Canis lupus familiaris: one gene and its partners. The protein of the gene in region 2 interacts with the protein of the main gene of each other region in a biochemical or structural test. Links are inferred from orthologs where the notes say so. Each region holds a gene or a part of one and is shown on either strand. Other genes may lie near its edges. The genes, in order: MAPK8IP1, MAP3K11 and MAP2K7.

The links.
Region 1: the proteins of MAP3K11 (region 2) and MAPK8IP1 form a complex in vitro, tested with the Homo sapiens proteins (2 studies listed by BioGRID). The link is inferred for Canis lupus familiaris from reciprocal best matches to the Homo sapiens genes MAP3K11 and MAPK8IP1.
Region 3: of the proteins of MAP3K11 (region 2) and MAP2K7, one has a biochemical effect on the other in vitro, tested with the Homo sapiens proteins (2 studies listed by BioGRID). The link is inferred for Canis lupus familiaris from reciprocal best matches to the Homo sapiens genes MAP3K11 and MAP2K7.

What each region holds. Positions count from the first base shown.
Region 1 is NC_049239.1:43,957,103-43,963,810, reverse strand, and holds the start of MAPK8IP1 (C-Jun-amino-terminal kinase-interacting protein 1), read left to right. Parts: upstream 1-2,699; 5' UTR 2,700-2,749; coding exon 2,750-2,850; intron 2,851-6,708. UniProt on the Homo sapiens protein: The JNK-interacting protein (JIP) group of scaffold proteins selectively mediates JNK signaling by aggregating specific components of the MAPK cascade to form a functional JNK signaling module. Required for JNK activation in response to excitotoxic stress.
Region 2 is NC_049239.1:52,091,338-52,098,237, forward strand, and holds the start of MAP3K11 (mitogen-activated protein kinase kinase kinase 11), read left to right. Parts: upstream 1-3,187; 5' UTR 3,188-4,543; coding exon 4,544-5,282; intron 5,283-6,900. Other genes in the region: PCNX3 (pecanex-like protein 3), read right to left, coding at 1-758, 1,002-1,097, 1,197-1,236, 1,352-1,451, 1,679-1,866, 2,222-2,374. UniProt on the Homo sapiens protein: Activates the JUN N-terminal pathway. Required for serum-stimulated cell proliferation and for mitogen and cytokine activation of MAPK14 (p38), MAPK3 (ERK) and MAPK8 (JNK1) through phosphorylation and activation of MAP2K4/MKK4 and MAP2K7/MKK7.
Region 3 is NC_049241.1:52,999,193-53,006,056, forward strand, and holds the start of MAP2K7 (dual specificity mitogen-activated protein kinase kinase 7), read left to right. Parts: upstream 1-2,711; 5' UTR 2,712-2,804; coding exon 2,805-2,928; intron 2,929-4,692; coding exon of another isoform or gene 4,693-4,740; intron 4,741-6,864. Other genes in the region: volume-regulated anion channel subunit LRRC8E, read left to right, coding at 1-456. UniProt on the Homo sapiens protein: Dual specificity protein kinase which acts as an essential component of the MAP kinase signal transduction pathway. Essential component of the stress-activated protein kinase/c-Jun N-terminal kinase (SAP/JNK) signaling pathway.

The DNA of each region.
Region 1 (6,708 bases), about 8.1 Mb from region 2:
ATTGCTTCATGCCTCCCCTCTTCTGGCCCAGGTGTCCTCGGGGCTGCCATAGAGCATTGACCCAAATCCTGATCCAAGGGCCAGCATGGGGAAGAGATGGTCGCAGGCAAAATGCACTTTATACAGAGATTTTCTTATTACTGGGAAGGTGTGTTTCTCCCACAGTTTGTGAATATTCACTTGTTTCATAAACATCTGATCCTGTCTGAGCAAAGCTGTGTTGTCATCAATCTTGTGGGAGGTCTGGGAACCAGGGGTCAGTAAGGCCGAGCTTCTCACCCCTCCTCAGAGTTGGCAGGGAGGAGAGGGATGGGTAGAGATGGAGGAAGCAGGAGACCTCTGGGAGCAACCAGAGCAGACTAGTGGCAGCTCCAGAGCTTGGCCAGAGTTGGGGAGTCAGTCAGCCAGAATGGTACAGAGTACTCCAGGCCTAAGATGAGGTTCCCGAGTGCTATCCTGCAGTGCCTCTGCCTCTCAGGCCACCTAAAGTTCCAGGGCTGAGGATCAGTCAGTGGCAGCAGGGCTCTCTCCAGGCCCTCAATCCATCCTTTATCTTGATTCAGCCACTTAAGCACCGTGTGGTGTGCAGGGGATGCAGGCGGCAAGCACGGACTCTGGCTGGGTGGTTGAGATCTGCCCGCAGCCAGGCCCAGGGCCTGGATGCTGGCTTTGCCTCATGCCATCTGGCCAGAGAGCGGCCTCTCTCTGCAGCATATGTGGGCTTTTCTATGATGGTCTCTAGCCTTGGGCCACAGAAAGACTTTTGTTAATACACCACACCCCAACTTCGTGTGGGCAGGGGCTCAGAGAGGGCCCAAGGATACACAAAATGCCCTGCACAGAATGAGAAAGGGGGAAACGGGAGGAGCTTGGGATTCATTTCATTCTTAGATCTGCTTTGAAGCTCCTTCCCACCAAGACCTGGACCTGCCCGTCCCCCCTCCCTTCTCCTGGCTTCTCTCTAATGTGACTTTGGCTTGGCCTCAGGAGCTACAATAGCTTTGTTCTCCAGCAGAAGATTCTGGAGAATGAAGTTGTCTTACACACACACTCCTGACCTGAAGATGCTCCCAGCTGAGGCAAGCACACACTCTTAAGCAACAATTATTAACCTCTAGGCCAAGACCACTTCCTGGAAGCAAAAGCCAGGCATCTGAGCAGAAGGTGGCTACTGTTTGGTCCTAGTGAAAGGAGGCTGAGCCAAGATAGCAAGAAAGGTAAAGTGGCCACTCCTCTGGGCCCACAGGCAGGGAGAAGAGCCTTTGGCAGTAGGTAATGGGATGTTCTTGGGGCTGGAGGTGGGGAGTTGTTTCCTGCAGGGCACGTGACTGCAGCTCCTTTCTGGGTGCTACATTGAAGGAAAAGGGAGTGGTGTGACCAGTAGGCAGTCCAGATTTGCAAATAGGATCCCACAAGCTGTGAAACAGTTTGCCCCTTCTTCGGAAAGAAGTAAGGACAGAGCCTCCGCAGTTCTCAGGAGGCCAGAGAGACCAATGAGGTTTGGTCAGAGGCTCTTGACCCACCAAAGCTGGGGCCCTAGCCTTGCCAGCAGTTTGAGTGTCCAGCAGTCTGTGTTCTGTAAAAGAACTCACAGGCTTAGCCCTCGTAGGGGAGAGACCAGAAAGGAACTGTGGCCCCAAACTAGCAGGGGTAGAGGTGCTGGAAGGAACAGAAAAACCATAAGAAGAATCCCAAGAAGTCAACCATGGCAGCAGGAGGAAAAGTGGCTCCTACTCTTAGAATGTGGGAAACCAGCTATGGGGTGTCTGTGGGTGCAAATGAGAAGTTCTCTGCAGGAAATGCAATTGAGAGAAATCTGGGAAAGTCCTGGTGTGAGGGAGGAGAAACAGAGAAGCCTAGAGAAAGGTTCAGTTCCCCATTAATAACTGGGTCAATCTTTAGAGAGAAAATCTTCTAGGGAGAGTCCATGAGAGGGTCTCCTCAAGGGGACAGGACTGGGTGAGACCTGGGTTCTAGGCAGAGGTGGGGTATTCCCTGCCGCCGGTGACAACATATTTGTATTACTTTTCATCCTCACAACCACGAGAGGGACCATTACTGTCCTCATTTCACAGATGAGAAAACTTAGGATCCGTGAAGTCACTAATGCAAGGCCACACCACCTATTCACTTGGGAAGCCAGGCTGTGACTTCACACCACCTGACTCCAACCCCGGCTTGCCCTGGGAGCCCACGCCGACACCATGTCGCCTTCCTCCTCCTTCCTCCATGGCCCTCCGGTCCTGCCCGCCTTCTTTGTCTGCTGCTGGGGGCCACTAGGGCCCAGGGGACCGGGTCCCGCCATTAGCTCCCTCATGCCCGGGCGCCAGGCCCCCCCGAGGGCGCAGAGCCCGCACCGCGCGAGGGCTTTGCGGGAGGGGGAGGAGGGCGGAGGGATCCGCGTGGGCGCGGGGGCCGCGGGGGCCGCCGCTTCAGCACCTCGGAGAGCGCCGGGGCGGGGCCGGGGCGGGGCCGGGGCGGGGCCGGGGCGGGGCCGGGGCGGGGCGCACGAGACCCCGGCGAGGGCCCGGGGACGCGCGGCGGCGCTCGCGCCAGTCCCGGGAGCGGCGCGCGGTCCGGAGCCGCGCCCTGCCCTGCGCAGGTGCGCCCGCCGCGCCCGCCCCAGCCCGAGCCCCGCGGCGGCGGCGGCCTCTCCGCGCGCCCGCCTCCGTCCCCTCCGCCGCCGCCGCCTTCGCCGCCGCCGCCTCTGCGCCGCGCTCCGCCCGGATGGCCAGGGCTGTGCCGGGGAATGGCGGAGCGAGAGAGCGGCGGCCTGGGCGGGGGGGCCGCGTCCCCGCCTGCCGCCTCCCCGTTCCTGGGGCTGCACATCGCGTCGCCGCCCAATTTCAGGTGAGAGTCCCCGGCCGCCGCGCCCCGCCCTTCGGCCCGGGTAATCTGCGCCGGCCCCCGCCGCCCGCCGCCCCCCGCCCCCAACACGCACACACCGACCTGGGGAACGCAGGGGCTGCGCGGGGAGGGGGTCTCCTCCCTGGGCAGGGTCCCCAGAAACCCCCTCAGCCCCCCGTCCCGCCGGATAGCCGCTGCAGAGCCAACGGTGCGGCTCCCTCCGCCATTCCATGCCCCAGGCTAGGAGATTCTAGAGGGAACTGGAGGGGGGGGCGCAGAGGCCGCCTTCTCCCCCACTTTGGGACTGCGGCAGGGCCTGGGGTCCGGATTGAGACAGCGGAGGAGGCAGGCAGGCTAATGCTCTGCTTCTGCCCAGTCCACAGGATTCTGAATAGACATGGGTGCGGGGATGGGGTGCCTCGTGGCTCCCAGTTTCTTGGGGCAACTGACAACCTTGGTGCCGGAAGGAGGAAGTCGTGGGCCCCTCCCCCAGCCCTGTCTGGTCAGAGGGGCCTAACTCCCAGGACTGGCATGGTCAGGACCCCTGTGGACTTGGGTGGGCAAGCACTGACCTGGTCAGGTGTGTGCAGGCACGGAAGGCTCCGACCCATTCAGGAGACACTACGCCCAGCTTTGGTTGAGGGAGTCTGGTTTGGACAGCCCAGGAGTAGCCAAGGACACTGGGTGGAAGGTTTCCCTGCTGGAGCAGGTCCCCAGGACCGTGGTCTGAGCTCCCTTTCTCCCCCCTCTCTGCCGGTTATCTGCTATTAGGCAATTGGGAGGTGGATTTTAGGGAAGTGGGCAGTGGGTGTTGTGGGCAAGGGATGGATATCCCTCCACCATAATCCTGGCCCCATTTGGAGAGGAGGAAGAAGACAGTGTAACTGCTCCAGAGCCTAGGAGGAGGCCTAGACGTACCCCATTGTTTCTCCATCTAATGAGCCGGCGCCTTCCCCTCTCCTGGGCCCCCCACCCCAGCCGGGCCCCAGCTGGGCTCTGGCGCCAGCCCCTCTCTGACCAAGGGGTTGCTGGCTCCCTGGCCCTCAGGTGGGTAGGAACCCCTGAGGATCTCTAATGGCATCAGCAGCAGTAGAAACTTCCCTTGAGGCCCTGAGCTGAGAAGCTGGGAAGACCAGAGGGAGGGGACCAGATGGAGGAGGCCAAGTGTGAGGGCTCCAGGGCCGGGGCCTTTGTGATTGGTGCCTCTTGAATAATGAGGCTGAGGTCTGAGACCAGTTTCCCCTGGCCAAGCTGCCAAGAGGCAAATATTGCCTTCCTGCTGGGAGGCCCCTCTGCAGTGGAACAGCTGAGAGGGACCTGGGTTCAAATTCGAGCTCCACCACTTGCTAGCTGAGCGACCTGACAGTCCCATCTGACAGGTGAGCTAATATTGATTCCTTCGTGTGCATCAAGTCGGTGCTCAACAAGTGTCTGCCCTCCATGCTGGTGAGCATTTATATAGCTCATCACTGCTCGGAGCTTTCCCAGGGGCAGGCTCGTTTACCCTCATGGCCGTGGGGGTCGGTCTGCCCATTTTATAGATGACAAGATCGAGGTTCAGCAGGCAGTGGTTTGCCTGAGGACCCCGCAGAAGTCAGAGCCTCGGGCCGTCTCTGGGTGTTCAGTCCACTCGGTCGCCAGGCCCTGTCTGTGGCCCGGAGGACAGCTTTGCCTCCCTCCACCTGCTTCCAGACCCCCAGGTGACAGTGCCCTCCCCTGGCAGGCAGGTTATCCTGGATGCTTTAGTGAGAGGGACTGATGAGGTGGACGCCAGCCAGTGAGTATGCACTCTGGGCCAGGTGGGTGAGAACAGCAGTGCGCCACGGCCAAGGCGTGGGCCAGCCCTCCAGGACACCATGGCCTGGCCGTGGGGACAAGGGCAGCTTCTGGAAATAATAAGGGCAGTGTCTCCGGCCCCACGTGGCCTGCCCTGCCTGCTCCAGCAGCCCCCGCTGACCTTTCCCTTGTCCTGCCTCGCCTGGCCCCTCACCCAGCTCGGGATAACCCTGGGTGTTGCCGCTCTCTCGTGGTCATGGATCCGACTGGCCTGGGTGTGCAGGCTGGCTCAGCCTCCTTAGCTGTGTGCCCCAAGACTGTTGGCTCCTGCTCAGGACGGTCCTGGGACTTGGATGGGACACGTGTTGAGTGTTTCAAGGGCTGCGGAGAGCTGCGTTCACGCAGGGCTGTGGTTGTTACTGTGTGTGTGCCCCCAGCACTGCTGTCAGCTTCCAGAAGGCATAGGAGGCAGTCCCTAGACTTCGGCCTGCCCAGTGCCCGGCACAGAGTAGGCGCTCAGTAATGCTGTACTGGGTTATTATGAAGGATCAGTTGTGCGCTGTCCTCCTGGAGCTCAGAGCATAACAGTGCGTGTTGTCAGAGGATAAGGGGGTGGGGGGGACGCTGGCCCCGGGGAGGCGCTCACTTTGCCCAGCACCCTCCCAAGGGCTTTCTACGCAAGAGCATCCTCACCAGGGCTGTATAAACAGAGCGTTACTATTATCCCCACTTTGCAGATGAAGAAACGGAGGCAGACAGAGGCTAGGGTGGCAGAGGTGGGGTCTGAATGCAGGCAGTCTGGCTTCAGGGCCACCCTGAAAAGGGGGAGCTCTGGAATAGCGGGGGGTGGTGTGCAGGGAGTAAGCACGGGGTGGACGTGGAAGCCGGAGAGGGAGCATTTGTTTGCTGCTGGTTGGTTTAAATAGACAGGTGTTCCTTCTTTGCTCCCCCTTCTGATTGTAGAAATGCTCCATCCAGTTACCTGCAGTTACCTCCAGATGTGGTATCGGGGGAGGGATTTCACTTATTTTACGCACTTCTATGATCATTTGACATCTTACTTCTGCAAGGAGCATAGGTCACTTCTGTAACTTCCAAAATTAGACAAGCGAATTTAAAACTCAAGTGATACCTGTTCATTGTAAGGAAAACTCCAGAAAAGAGACTTTAGAAACGTACCCAACGCATACACTGAGCTGGGTAGGTGGGATAAAGGGGAGGGACAGTGGGACGGTGCCTGTGGGGCGACGCCGGGTGCCCATGGGCAGTCCAGCGGGCAGCCCGCCCTGGACACGTGGGAGGAGAGCCGTGGATGAGGGGACCTCAGAAACCTCCTCCTCCCCGCCACCCCTCCCCGTTTACTGAGGGGGGCGCAGGAGATGGCGAGTGGCAGACCCTGGGCCTCCTGGCTGCCGGATGGTGTGGCTTTTACGTCGCCCTGCTGCCTTGCGGATGGAGCTGTGGCCACCGAGGGGGGCGCAGAGAGCTCCTCATTCTCCCCCCAGGACGGTACACACGTGGCTGTTCCTTTGCTCACTTGACTTTGCACTTTGGCGGCCTCCCTGGTCAGCTGCTCCGCAGGCGCAGGCACTGCCCGACCATCATGCAGGTGGCCGTGTAGAGGGGACATGGACAGACAGACGAGGGCTGGCCAGAGCGGCCAGCAGGGGCGGTCAGAGGCCCAGGGCCCCGCCCCGTCGGAGGCGGCAGGGCTTCAGCAGGAAGGGCAGCCCTGGATGGCTGTCTCAGGAGGGTCGCTGGGCCCTCCTGCCTGGGACCTGGCGGGGGGGGGGGGCAGGAGGGGACAGGAGGAAGACTGGGGGGCTGGCTTCACCCACTTGCTGAGGTATGTGCCCTGAGGGGTTGGGGCGCCAGGGGTCCGGGTGCTGGGCCCCTTGGGGATGGGACACCCTGTGGGCCATGAGAGGCTTGGTGGGCACGGAGGCAAAATTAGGAGGAGACCTCCTGAGTTTGCAGAGGGTGACCCTTCCCTGGGGACCCACTGGAGCGTTCGGGGCAGGGCATTGGGGGAGGCGCCTGGGGCGCCTGGAGAGGGTGGGGCCAGACCACAGATGCGGGGCGGCC
Region 2 (6,900 bases):
GTCAGTACTGTAGCGGCGCTGAGATCGGAGGCTAGAGGCTGGGCTCAGTTCACTGCCCTCGCTGGTGTCTTCATCCTCAAAGAAGCCCCCACTTTCAAGCAGGGGCCGCCGAGGGGCACGGCCAGGAGGAGAGTGTCTTCGCATGGGTGGCCGCCGTTTGGTGGGTCGCAGCAAGGCCAAGTCCTTGGGCCGCACAACCAGGAGTGGCTCAGCTGGGCCCGGTGGTGTCCCTGCTCCTATGACTGTATCAAAGGAACGCAGCGTGTCATCTGAGGGGACTCCAGCATCTGGCGATGCAGGCAGCTCAGCCTCAGAGGGTGGGTCTGTGTCGCTGCCCTCCGGGGCTTGCCCACCGGGAGGGCTGTCCAGGTGGGTTGAGTTGGTCTTCTCACTCTTGAAGCTGCTCAACGTCTCCCTGTCAGTGCCACTGAAGCAGGAATCTGAGGAGCCTGCTTTCTGGGGCGTGGGCTCACCCGAGCCCCGCCGGTCCAGGGGCTGGTAGCCGCCTGCTCCCCGGCGCTGTTCCCGTCGACTGCTGGTCCTCACCAGGGCCCGCTCAGGCCGGGTCAGGGTCAGGAAGCTCTTGCTCAGCTCCTGGCTGAGGCTCCCCTTCAGAAGGGGGCTCATGGGAGTGTCGGCCACACTGCTCCCACTCCAGGGGGCTCCATCCCCAGCCAAGGGAGAACGTTCTGAAGAGTCTGTGCTGGGGAGAGAGGGGTCTGGGGCAGCCCCCGGGGGTGTCTGGGGAAGGTCTCCAACTATCAGAAAAAAGGAAGACAAAATGAGGGGAGGGCATGCTGCAAAAGGAACCAGCTGCTGAGGGGGTCCTGTGGCCAGGCCACAGGATGAGGTAGGCTACAGGACGGGGCAGATGGGGCAGGACAACGAGAAAGCCCCATCCTAAAGGACAAAGAGAGCTCCGGAGAAGCAAAAGTTGAGGTGACTCAAAGACCAGATAGCTAGTCCTCCCCCTAAGCCCCTGCCACGTCACCCCCACTCACTCAGTTTCTCCTGTGAGCTTAGCTTCAGCATCTCTCGATCCGCTGAGGTCACGATCACATTATTGCTGCCCTGCTCTCGCACCAGCTCCTTGATGTCTGCAACCACGGCCCCACAGGTGTCAGCAGGACTTCGAGGCATCGCTGTGCCATCTCATTCCACACCGCCAAATTCAGACCTGAGCAGCAGCCACCTACCTCTGAGGGGCCCAGAGTCCTCCATCCGGGGCAGCAGCTCCTGAGCAAAGAGAAAAATGAAGGAACAAAAAGAGTAAGAAGTAGACTCAGGACATACCCCAATGGGGATGGGCTCCCAGGAGAGGAGTGGGACGGGGTAGCTATGGACCACTCACCGAGACCTGGTTGAAGCCAAACACAGAATGCTGGGAGCTACAGCGTACCGGGGGTGTGGAACTCACTTTCCGAAACACTGTCATTTCCACTCCAGGGTCCCTAGCAGTGGAGAAAAGCATCAGCTTTCAGCTAACCTCCTGCCCCTTTATACTATACTTCCTCCACTACCCCAGCACTCCTTTCTTCTCAAAGGTCCTCTCACAAGTCTGGGGCTGACCACAGAACAAGTGCCCACCTGCTCATGGACCCAATGTCCCTAAGGCCCCAGTGCTTAAGCCCAGGCACTAAGCACCCTTAATTCCCAACACAGCCCCTCCGAGACTCACCTGGGCAGACTGCTGTCCCCCTGTGCAGGCTCCTCCTCTGGCTCCCCCATGGTAGAGTTACGCTTCTCCACAATCTCGCCCTGATCGAACATAGCGTGTAACCGATAGTTCACAGTCTTGATGGTAGTGAAGATGACAGCCACCACGAGGCAGTACACGCAGGCCACCATCAAGCTGGGGGGCAGGACCTGGAGGTGGCAACAAGTCAGGTTCCCCCTCACGCAGCCCTGTCCCTATGGGGTAGACCTACCACCAAAATCATAGCTAGTTCACAAGAGTTCATCACCCATCCCTCGGAACTGCTACAAAGACCCTCCTCAGGGAACTCTGTCCTCTTACTGAAGAGAAATTAAGTGAGAGACTCAAGGTCACCCAGCCCAGGAAAGGAATAATTTGGCCACTTCTCCATATACCCCCAAACTCTGCAGGGGGTCCTCTGTCTCCACAAGGCATATCCCCAAATCCCTGCCAGCTTGGCACCCCTCCGTGACATCTGCCCTCCCTTTCCCCAGAGGGGGGTTACAGGTGGCGGGAGCATCTCACCATGTACAGCAAGAAGGGAAAGGTGAGCAGGAAGATCCAGACATAAAGGTGGAAGCAGTTGGAGAAGGTGCTCTGGTGCGGGTCGAAGAACCAACCGCCGGTGAGCGAGGCCCACACCCCCTGGCGCAGGATCTGCAATACCTGCGACCCCATGGCCCCGCCGCTGCTGCGCGCGCCCCCCTCCCGGGACCCTCATGGGGGCGGCCGCCGGCCCACGCCCCGCCTGGCGCCCGAGGGCCCCGGGGCCCGGCCTCGCGCTCACGCCATGGCCTCCCACAGCCGGAGAGAGGGGTCGGCTGGGCGAGGGGGCGGGCAGGGGGCGGGGCCGACCCGGGCAGTCAGCGGTGCGAGGCCTGGACGCGGGGGTGGAGCCTCATCAGGGGCGGGGTCCAGGCCCCCACCCCTGGCCCACAACTGCTCCGAGAGGCCGAGCCGGTAGACAGGCGCGGGGCACGGGCCAGACCCTCGTCGGCGGCATCCAGAGATGGGCGTGGGGTGGGTGCTCCGGGGATGCAGGCGACGGCTCCCTCGGCTCCGGCCCGGGGAGAGCCCCGGGACCCTGAGGTCCACTTCCGGGGTTACAGGTCACTCGCTTCGGTCTCCGCGATCGCCCGGCTACTGCGGGACCCGGCCCAAGGGGGAGGCCGGAAGGAGCAGCGAGCCGCCAGCCAGCAGTGGCGCATGCGCCCGACCGGCCTAGTTGGGACCCGGAAAAGGAAAACTTGAAGGCATGAAACCTGACGCACGCGCAGGAAGGTCGTGGAGCGCTAAGACGCGGCGGAGCCCTTTGGGCGTGCGCGGAGTCCAGGCCTAAAAGAGCTCCAAAAGTGGTAGCGCTAGGGCGCATGCGCACGCCCAGGCGTTGTCCACCCAGCGGACACCCCTGGGCGGAACCGAAGGGATAGTTGAGTGGCCACTGAGTAATGGCGGGATTAATTGGCACAAAACTCTCTCAGTGAGTTACAGGAGGTGGAGCAAAAGGAGGCGTGGACTTCTCGGGGCTACTGCGATAGTTGTGCACCACCGAGGCACGCCCCTCTCGGTCCGCCCCTTTCAGTGTAGGACCGCGTACCCGCACTCACGCCCCAAGCAGCCTCTACTTCCGGGTCAGAGCTCAGACTTAGCGGGTGGAGAGCTACCCTCCAGAACAGGCATGAATAATAGAAATAGGATAGCGTCGCTTTTCTTAAAGTGACAGGCTCAAGGCAATGGGGGGGCGGGGTCTGTCCATCCAGCAGCTGTAAGGGCAATTTGGCTCTTCTGAATCCAACCACTGGGCGAAGTTCAGAATTACAGTCTCAGGTTTCCGCCCACTTGGCTTGGGGTGAAGAAGTGGATTGTTTCCCAGGTAAGGGGAAGAGGACAGTCTTAGACAACTCGTTCCAAGAGTTTGAGATGCAGCCAGTTCCGTCTTCCAGTCTTGCCCACTCCCATCCCAAGCAGAGCTTCTGGTCCCTATTTCAGCTATGAAGGGAAGGAGGCGAAAAGATGAGTTATGCAGTCCTGCAACTTCGGAGCCAAGACTAGGCTTGCCCCACTCCCAAGCCAGGTTCTTTACCCCGTTTTGCGGATGCGGATGCGGAAGGGATGGCCTGTCCTTAGCAAAGACCAACCCTGACCCTGAACCTTCTGCGATGGGTGTTCGGGGCGATCATCCCCTCCTGCCCTTCATTGCCCGCCTACCCGGGAACTCCCGGGACCGGCGCCGGCAGCCTCTGGGAGGGGAGCAGCGCTACCCGCCCGCGTCATCTGATGCTGTTTCCTGCAAGAAGGAGAAGAGCGGAAAAAAGTGAAACTCCACCCTCCACCTCTGCCTCCCGCCCCCGGGGCCAAAGTACAAAGGGAGGAGGAAGAAGGGAACGGGGTTGGAGCCGTCGGGCTGAGGGAGCCGGACTGGGAAGCGGCAGCTCGGCCAAACTAGGAACACGCCAGCCACCCCCTGCGCAAAGAGACCCAACGGAGTCCCCGCGCTGCCCGTTGCGGACCCCACCTTGCACTTGGCGAGTGCTGGAGCCAATCTCCCAGGACTGCTCTGGGACGGAGGGACTTCAGGCCCCTCCAAGCTGGCCATGGTGAGACGCAGGAGGCCCCGGGGTCCCACCCCCAGAGCCTGACCACACTGCCCTGGGTGGCCCTCTAGAAGCCCGAGATGCGGGGGGCCGGGAGTCAATACTCCTGGCTCCCCAGAGAGGTGTGGGTCTGGAGCTGAGGGCCAGGGCCCGGATGCCCAGGTTCCGGGACTAGGGCCTCAGCAGCCAGCAGGGGTGGGGACCAGGGGCACCCAGGGAAGATACCCTGCTTGCCCCCAAATCAACTCCAGCCATGGAGCCCTTGAAGAACCTCTTTCTCAAGAGCCCGCTGGGGTCATGGAACAGCAGTGGCGGTGGGGGCAGTGGGGGCAGTGGCGGAGGCTGGCCAGAGGGGTCCCCGAAGACAGCGGCTTATGCCAACCCCGTGTGGACAGCCCTGTTTGACTATGAGCCCAATGGGCAGGATGAACTGGCCCTGAGAAAGGGCGACCGTGTGGAGGTGCTGTCCCGGGATGCAGCTATCTCAGGCGATGAGGGCTGGTGGGCCGGCCAGGTGGGTGGCCAGGTGGGCATCTTTCCATCCAACTATGTGTCTCGGGGCGGTGGCCCACCCCCCTGCGAGGTGGCCAGCTTCCAAGAGCTGCGGCTGGAGGAGGTGATCGGCATCGGTGGCTTCGGCAAGGTCTACCGCGGCAGCTGGCGAGGTGAGCTGGTGGCTGTGAAGGCAGCTCGCCAGGACCCCGATGAGGACATCAGTGTGACAGCCGAGAGTGTGCGCCAGGAGGCCCGGCTTTTCGCCATGCTGGCACACCCCAACATCATTGCCCTCAAGGCCGTGTGCCTGGAGGAGCCCAACCTGTGCTTGGTGATGGAGTACGCAGCTGGTGGGCCCCTCAGCCGTGCCCTGGCTGGGCGGCGTGTGCCCCCCCACGTACTGGTCAACTGGGCTGTGCAGATTGCCCGTGGGATGCATTACCTGCACTGTGAGGCCCTGGTGCCTGTCATCCACCGAGACCTCAAGTCCAACAACAGTGAGTTTTGGGGAGCATGGTTGGAGGGTGGCATAGCCCAAGCACACACCAGCCAACTTCTCAGCTGAGTCCCCTGGGGATCTACTCGAGGCAGGAGCTCCTTCCCTAGGGGAGTCCTAGTAGAGTCGGGGTGCCATTTACCCACACTGGCCGCAAAGCAGGAGACCCAGGCACCGAACAGTCCTTCAAGCCCCAGCCTCAGGAGTCTTTGACCCTGGCTCACAGCCACCAGGTTAAAAAATTGGGATCTCTCAAGTGAGCCATAAGTGTCCTGCCTAACATGGGCACCACTTCAAGGCAGTAGAGCTCTGGATGCTGGCAGTCATCTTCTTCCCCCCCTAAAGTTCATGCCCATGCTGTTGATGCTCTGTTCTTGGGGTAGAAAGCTCCTCCAGAACAGAGATCTTGGAGAGGAAAGCCCCCACTAAACCCCGTGGTGGTCAAGGCTGGGGACAGGGCTGGAATTCTGGCTCTGCCCATACCCCTGACTACATGACCTTTAACTGGTTATTTCAACTCAGAGCCTCAATTTTGGACTCTGTAAAAAGGGAGTGACCAGGAAGGTGAAATGGTGTAAGGGGCTGGGTGAGCCTGGTGTCTGCTGCCTGGCACACAGTGGGTCTGCAGCTATGTGGGGGAACATTCGAGGGCTGGATCACCTAGAGGGCTTTGCCTGGAATTAGCACTTAGGGTGGGCCTGGTGGGGTTAAGGGAGACTCAAGCAGTCCAGTACAGCATCTCCAGCCATTTCAGGCCCAACACACTGCCCAGCATGGGCCCAAGACAAGCGAGTGACAGGTTCCGAGGGCTTCCTGGAGCAGATAAGCTTCACACCAGGCCCAAAGCAGGCACCCTGTTGGATGTTCAGGTAGAACACGACCAGAGCAAAGGCAAAGAGGCAGGACTCAGAGCCACCTACCGTGCCCCCAATAGTGGGGACACAGAGCTAGATTTGCCAGGGAAGGGGGGACCAGGGTCCAGGCTGTAGAGCAATAGGAAGTGCAGAAGGAGCTGATGGGTTATTGGAGAGGCTTGGGCAGCTCTTGGTGGGGGGTGAGCATAGATATTTTGGACCGCCTGGCTTGGGCTGGCCATATACAAGTGGCTTCTGGGGAGTAGGACGCCATAACCCAGTAATATCCGAGTCCTTGCCAGGCCCGGAGGGACAAGGAAAGGCCTGCCAGCCACCCCACCTACTCCTCTCATCCAGTGGGGTACTTCTCACTGCTCAGCCTGGTGCTAGCCCTCCAGGGACCCCCACTCCCTGCCCCAATCCAAGGGAGATTCCCCGAAGGCTTTGGGGGAGGGGACTCCCTTCTTCTGTTTTTCCTCCAGTTTTCTTTCCAGAAAAAATGGAACAATAGCCCAGGCCCCTGCTCCCCACCCTCCCCACTGCTTCCTGCGTTTCCTGCTGCCCCTGAGCCGGCTTCCTGCCCCTGCTCCAGCCTCTGCTCCCTCCCCACCCCAGCTGCCTGCCGGGGAGGAAAGAACCAAGGGAGGGGGGTGCTGTGGGAGAGGAAGGAGCCAGGGATTGCATCCCCCCCCTTCCCCTGTTTCTCTCCCAGAGTCTGGGTGATGGTGAAGGACAGGCCAGGTGCCCTCAGCCTCGCTGAGCCTG
Region 3 (6,864 bases), on a different chromosome or scaffold from region 2:
CCTGAGCACGTGCGCAAGCTCCGGGGCCTGGAGCAGCTCTACCTCAGCCACAACAAGCTGGAGACCCTGCCCACCCAGCTCGGCATGTGCTCCGGCCTCCGCCTGCTGGACATCTCCCACAATGGGCTACGCTCCCTGCCGCCCGAGCTGGGCCTCCTCCAGAACCTGCAGCACCTGGCTCTGTCCTACAATGCCCTGGAGGCCCTGCCTGATGAGCTCTTCTTCTGCCGGAAGCTGCGGACGTTGCTTCTGGGCTACAACCACCTGAGCCAGCTCTCGTCCCAGGTGGGGGCCCTCAGAGCCCTCAGCCGCCTGGAGCTCAAGGGCAACCGCTTGGAGGCACTACCAGAAGAGCTTGGCAACTGTGTGGGGCTCAAGAAAGTGGGGATCCTCGTAGAAGACACCCTTTACGAGGGCCTGCCGGCAGAGGTGCGGGAGAAACTGGAGGAGGAATGAAGCAAAGGTGGGGAAGGCTGGGTAGAGGCCTTCTGGATGCTTCCACTGCAGAATCTCTACTACTGTCTTCAAGAGAGGTGGCCAAGAGGGCCCAGGCCAGGAGAGAAGGAGCAGACGCATCAGCCACCATGGGTTCCAGGCAAGATCCTGGGACTGGTTTGTCTGAGAAGAGATGAGAGGCTGTGGATTTGGGGTGGAACGTCGTAGAGGGATTAACTCAGTCATAGGATTCTCAGACCCAAACCACACCTGCGTCTTTGGCTGGCTGTCCTGCCCACACCCTGGACATTCTGGCCTAGTTAGTGCCATATATGGGGTTGGGGCACATCCCAATGGGATTTCAGCCCTTTCCCCCACCCCTCAAAACACCTTATAGCTGGTGTTCTCTCCCAAGGAGGGGACACAGACACAAGGGACTAATGAGTGACCCTTGCCCCCAACTTTGATGCCAAATCCTTATTTATAAGTTGTTTGCTATGGACACGCAAAATCAGAAAAATGGTTCTCGTGTTTGGCTATGCATCAAAATCAACATCCCCAAAACAAAACATCCTGGGCCCCACCCCTGAAAGACTGACTCAGGTCTGGCTGGAGGCCAGGAACCTGCCTGCAAATACACATCCCAGGTAATTCTGATGCAGGTGGTCCTAGACCTGTGTGTTGGGAATTGCGGACCTACAGAATCTGCAAGTCCAGAGCAGGGATTCTGAACCCTTTCTAAGTCCTACACCTTTTGAACATCTGAGAAAAGCTGGGTGTTTCCTTTCCCAGGAAAATGCTCAGGTACACATACATGCAAAGTTCCGCAAGCAACTTTAGGCAGTCAGCAAATTCCCCCAGATTTCCCAGAGGGCCATTCACGGACATCCTAAGGATGGCAGACTCCAGTGTTAAGAATGCCTGCCGAGGAGGTTAAATTTTTCTGAGCAGAGGCAGGGATTTTGTCTTTCCAGTGTTTCCTGTGTGAGAGAGCATCTACCAGTGGGTGCTTAATAAATAATCTGAATTATGAGAACTAAACTTCCGATCTCTGGTATCCACTCCTGTTTGTCTAAGCCTTCCATTTCGCCAGACCAATAACAGGCAAGCAATGACACTCACATGGCGGAATCAAGGGTATGAGTTTCTGTCCTGGAAGCAGAGGCAGGAGAGACCTCGGCTTATCAGGCATCATCTGCGTAGCTATTTTTTGGAGAACTCTCTTTCTTCTCCATTCCTTATTATTCTCCGGACTCCACACTCTCGCATCTGTTCCACCCGCAAATTGTCACCACGGGAGTCCCCACAAGCCTTCCGCGCCCGCCAGTGTTCCCGTGCTGGACCAGGAGCAGGAAGGGCATAGGGCACAGCCTGCCTGACCTGGACCTCCCGGGCCTGGACACCTCAAGGAGTCTGAAAAAATGCGAGCCTCTTCCTCGCAACTGAGAGCAGACGCAAGCTGCTTTCCGAAATCCAGGATCCCAGATGGGGGCATTTTCCCGGGCGCCCACAGACCAGTTGAGCCGCGAGGAGACCAGGCTGAGGCGCCCTAACATCCAGGCCCATCTTCCGCACTGTCCAGGAGCTGGGCTCACATTCCGGGGTTGGGAAGATGAAAGTCCTAAAATACCCCATTTGAGGGGGCTGACCTGGAACTCTTCTGGCCCTGCCCCTCACCCTGTCCGGAGATCAGGGGTCATGCCCCTGGTCCTGGGGCCCCTCCAGTGACCGAGCCCTACCCTGCCCCTCCCGCCAGCCCTTGGCCAACCCCGAGTTTGCTGAAATAGAAAGGGCTCCCCACGGGCGCCTAATTATGGTGAAGAGACAGCAATTAAGCCTAACAGGGATCCTAATGAAGCACTGTCCCAGACGAGAAAGGCAGTGCTGGGAGAGCGTGGGTGCCAGAAAACAGGCCGGGAGGGGAAGAGCGAGAACGAAGCTGGGGAGGACACGCTGCAAGAGCTACTCCCAGCAACAGGGGCAGAGAAGCGAGCCAAGGTTGCGCAGGCGCAGTAAAGGCCGCGCGCGGGATCGCGTCCGCGCCTCTGCACGCAGGCGCGCCGCTCTCCCCGCCCGCCGCTCTCGGCCCAACAGTGTGAATGGATTGCCACACGCAGTCCGCGCATGCGCACCACCAGGAGAGGCGTTGCTCGTTGCCAGACGCGAGCTCTAGGTGGCGTCATCCCTCCAGCTGGGAAGAGGCACGCATGCGCGGACGTTAGCACGAGGGATGGGCGAGTGCGCGCCGCGGGCATGCGCCGTGCGGGGAGAGACGGCGGCTCGGCGGGGTCATCCAGGCGCAAGCGCAGTGCGGTGTTTGTCTGCCGGACTGACGGGCGGCCGGGCGGTGCGCGGCGGCGGCGGGGAAGATGGCGGCGTCCTCCCTGGAGCAGAAGCTGTCCCGCCTGGAAGCAAAGCTGAAGCAGGAGAACCGCGAGGCCCGGCGGAGGATCGACCTCAACCTGGATATCAGCCCCCAGCGGCCCAGGCCCAGTAAGCACGGCAGCGTGGGGGAGGGGGCGGGCGGGGCGGGGCGCGCGCCGCGGGAGGCCCCGCCCCCGCCGTCAGGCCCCGCCCCCGCTTCCGGGGCGCTCTGGCTCCTCCTCCTCCCCACCCCATACCCCCTGCTGTCGGCTCGCGCGGAGAGGGTCACGGTGACCCGGGGGGCGTGGGGCCGCGGGCTCCCGGGCGGCTCTGCCCCCAACGTAGGGGTTCCCCCTCACGGGGCCTACGAGCCTAGTTACCCGGCAAGGCCCCCCACCTGACGGCCCGCCCCCTCCGCGGGATCCTCAGAGCCTATGTCACCGTCACCTACCCAGAGCCGGAGCCGCGCTCCCTCCAATGCATGCGACTGTGACCACATCCAGGTTCGTCGCAAACACGGACACGTCTCTTCCGACCGGACGACTTCACTCCTGCCATCTCAGTGACTGGCAGGAGGCCCCTTTCCCCTTCGGCACCTGGGTCCCTGTCATATGGTTTAGTGGGGGATGCGCTCACACTCACACACAAGCACACTTGGCCCAGGTGACACCTGAGGTCATTTGATCACTGTAACTCCCTATTCCTCTGACCCCCTTTCCTGTGACTGTGTCTGGTAATCCCTTTTTCCCCCGGGCGGGGACCTTGTAATTGGGCCTGGGGGGCCCCCCCTCCCACGCACACCCTACCCACATACACCAGGCCCCTTCATACTTCTCTGACCCGTTTCACTGCCACCATCTTGGTGACTGTCTAGCTTCTCAAAAAATACACACCGAACTCTCAGCTTGGCAACTTTCGCCCACTGGACTCGAGTGACTTCCTCTTTCCTGCACGCCCACACTCACCTGGCCTAGGGATACCTGAAGCCAAGGTGGTGATATCTAGACCTCCCAGCCCACACACACCTCGTATCTGATCCCACTATCTCTGTGTATCTCCCTGCATCTTGTTGCCTGGAATCAAAAGCTGCCTCCTCCTGCCCTCCCCCACCCAACAATCACACCTGACCTGGGATTGCCACGACCACTGGACCACTGTCTAGTTTCTTTGTTATGTCCCACTGAACCCCCCTCCCCAAATCTCTCAGCTGGAGGGCATCGGGTCTTCACCCTCCCCACAGACCTGATGGGTAGCACCTCATCACGCACTTTGTGTCTCTCTCTTGAGCTGGCAAATTGCCCTCCTTTGTACTTCTGATATGATCCCTGTAGCTTATGTAGCTCCCTGTGGGGTCATCCTGGTAGGAGGGGGAACACACCCCCATGTCAGAGTATTGCAGTCACTCCCCGCTCACCCAGCCTGATCTTCACGGCCTGACTGCCCCCCAGTCCCTGGGTGCGCTTCACTCCCCATCTCTCTCTCTTCTGATTTGGGGTGGTGTGGGTTCCTCCCTGGGGCAGAAAGGCCTCCCAGGACTGGAGGGTCCCTGCTGGGCTCTGCAGTGCTGCCTCCCCTGGCCCCAGCATGGAAGAGACAGGGCTGGGTCTGGGGCCAGGGGTGCCTTACAGGGTGGCTGTCCCAGAGTGAGGTATGGTGAGGCCCACGGCGGGCAGGCCCCTGAGGAGCCCCCTTCAGGTGTCTGTGTCTGTGTCAGCTCCATCTCATCCTCCCGGTCCTCCCATTTCTGTCGGTTTCTACCCGTCTCTGCAGTTTGGTGCCTCGCGCCTCCCCCTCTTCCTCGTTATGATTTGATTTCTTTTCTTTTGGACAAATCAGTTGTTTCTGTTGTGATTTATCGTGGTGTTGTTTTTTTTCTTCCTTTTCCCCATCCAGTTATTGTGATCACTCTAAGCCCTGCTCCTGCCCCGTCCCAACGAGCAGGTACCAGCCTTTTTATCATCGTCGCTTGGACATCTGCACCATTGACCTAACCGCTGCCCCGCCGCAGAATGCCCTCCCCCCCACCCCCCATGCTGTGTGTGCGTGTGTGCGCCTGTCACTCTTTTCTCCTTCCACACAATCAGTGATCAACAGTGTTTGGCCCACTTGGCCAATTCTGTGTCCGCTCACCTTCCACTCCTCCCTTCCTGGCGGGCTCAGGTTTGGACTCCCTGGAAGAGGAAGTGGGCTCCTTTACTGACCAGGAGTCTGCCGCCTGTGAGAGGTCGCACGTGTGAGTGAGCGTATGAGAGAGAGAGAGGGAAAGTTGGGCTAGGCCATCGGGCTGTGCCTGTTGATTTGTTTCAACCGTACAGCCAACATGTACTGCCCTGCTCTAGGGACACAGCAGCGAACAGAACGGACCAAGGGCCCCTCGTTGTGTGGCTGACGCTCACTGACAGCATTCTCCTGGTCTGGGAGAAGTGGACAAAGCAGTGATGCTTTGTAGAAAAGGCAAAGTAGAGCCAGCTTGGGGTTCTGCAAGGGGTGGTCAGTCGGGGAAGCCTCTAGAGCAGCTGGGATTACAGCACAGGCTCGGGGGAGGTGGGGAGATGTGAATGAAGGTAGAGGAAGCAGCCCGCCGAGGCCTGAGGCCGGAGCGCAGTTACTTGCGGGTCTGGAGCAGATGGGGAGGGTGTGCATGTGTATATGTGAGAGAGAGAGTGTGAGAGCAAGAGAGACAGACACCTGGGTGAGGTCTGGTCCAGTTGGCCCTTGTGTAGGGGGAGCTAAATTGGGCAGGTTGTGTGTGTGTGTGTCTGTGTGTGTGTGTGTGTGTGTGTGTGTAAGACAGCGTGAGGCTGGCCCTGTTCAGGGCTCTCGGCATGTTGTCTGTACACGTGTGGGGGTTTGTGCCATGCGCTGTGTGTGTGCGCGTACATACGTGTTGGACTGACAGCCTGGTACATCTGTGGCTCCTTTTGGCCATGTGTTTCCATGCGCTCTTGTTCTCTCTCTCTCTTTCTCTCTTGTTCAGCCTCTTGCTCTCACTGTGCCCTCCTGACCTGCCGTGTGGCCTGTCACCACCTCTGTAACCTCTGTTCTCAGGGCCTTTGTGTACTTCCCCTCCCCCCACCTTAGCCACCCTTCACTGGTCACCCTCAAGTACCCACCGTGTTTCAGTTTGTAGGACCACTGGGAGCATCTCCCTTCCCGCCCCAAGAAGTGTGGAGAGGGTAGGGGTGTGGTCCTCATCCCAGAGAGGACCTGACCATGCGGGGCAGAAAAGGGGCCCAGACACCCCCCAGGGAGTGAGAGCCTGGCAGTGTCCCCAGAGAGTCCAGGTACAGGGGAGCATGGGGGCCTTCAGATGCCCCTGAGGTTGTTGAGCCAGAAAGAGAGGGGTTAGGACTCTGACTCTGGCCCTCACAGAGTAGTGAAGCAAGGGCGTAACACAGAGAGGGACTAGAGCAGGAGAGAGGGAGCACAGGAGGTGAGGCCTGCAGGCCAGGGCAGGGTGCTGGGCCTGGCCATCTCCCTGGGGTCCCCAGAGCTCTTATTTTGCTCTGACCAGGCATGAGAAGACCTGTATCCCTCCTACGACTGCAGGCTAGGATCACGTAGCTGCTCCCTCGCTCTACATGTGGCCAGGGTCCAGGGTAACAAGGCAGAGAAAGTGCCCCGATACCAGCAATTCAAGCATATTTGTCTCTGTCCTTTGGGCCCATATCACCAGGTGCTTGCAGAACTGTGGGAGGAAGGGGTGGACCGTGGCAGGAGGCGTAGGCAGAGGAGAGGGTGTCAGTTGAGGGTTGTGGGAGAGTTGCAGGCCCCAGGCCTCCTGGCCATTCTCCACGGAAAGGTCCTCTTCTGGCCCCACTTAGCTTTTTCAGCCAGTGCCCTACCCAGCTAGGGATCCCATTCCAGAGCACCAGGGCCTGGGGTACGAGGGTTCAGTGGGGGATCATGTCTTCTCCAGGGGCACATGGGGCTCTGGTCCCCCACCTTGTTGCCAGCCCAGCCAGGGAGGATCCTAGCCCTTCAGGGAACCTGCTGTCCTGTCCCGGGCCCCTGTCTGGCCTGTCTCTGCAGTGCCTCCTCTGGGCAGCTGGGCCCCAAGTCCTG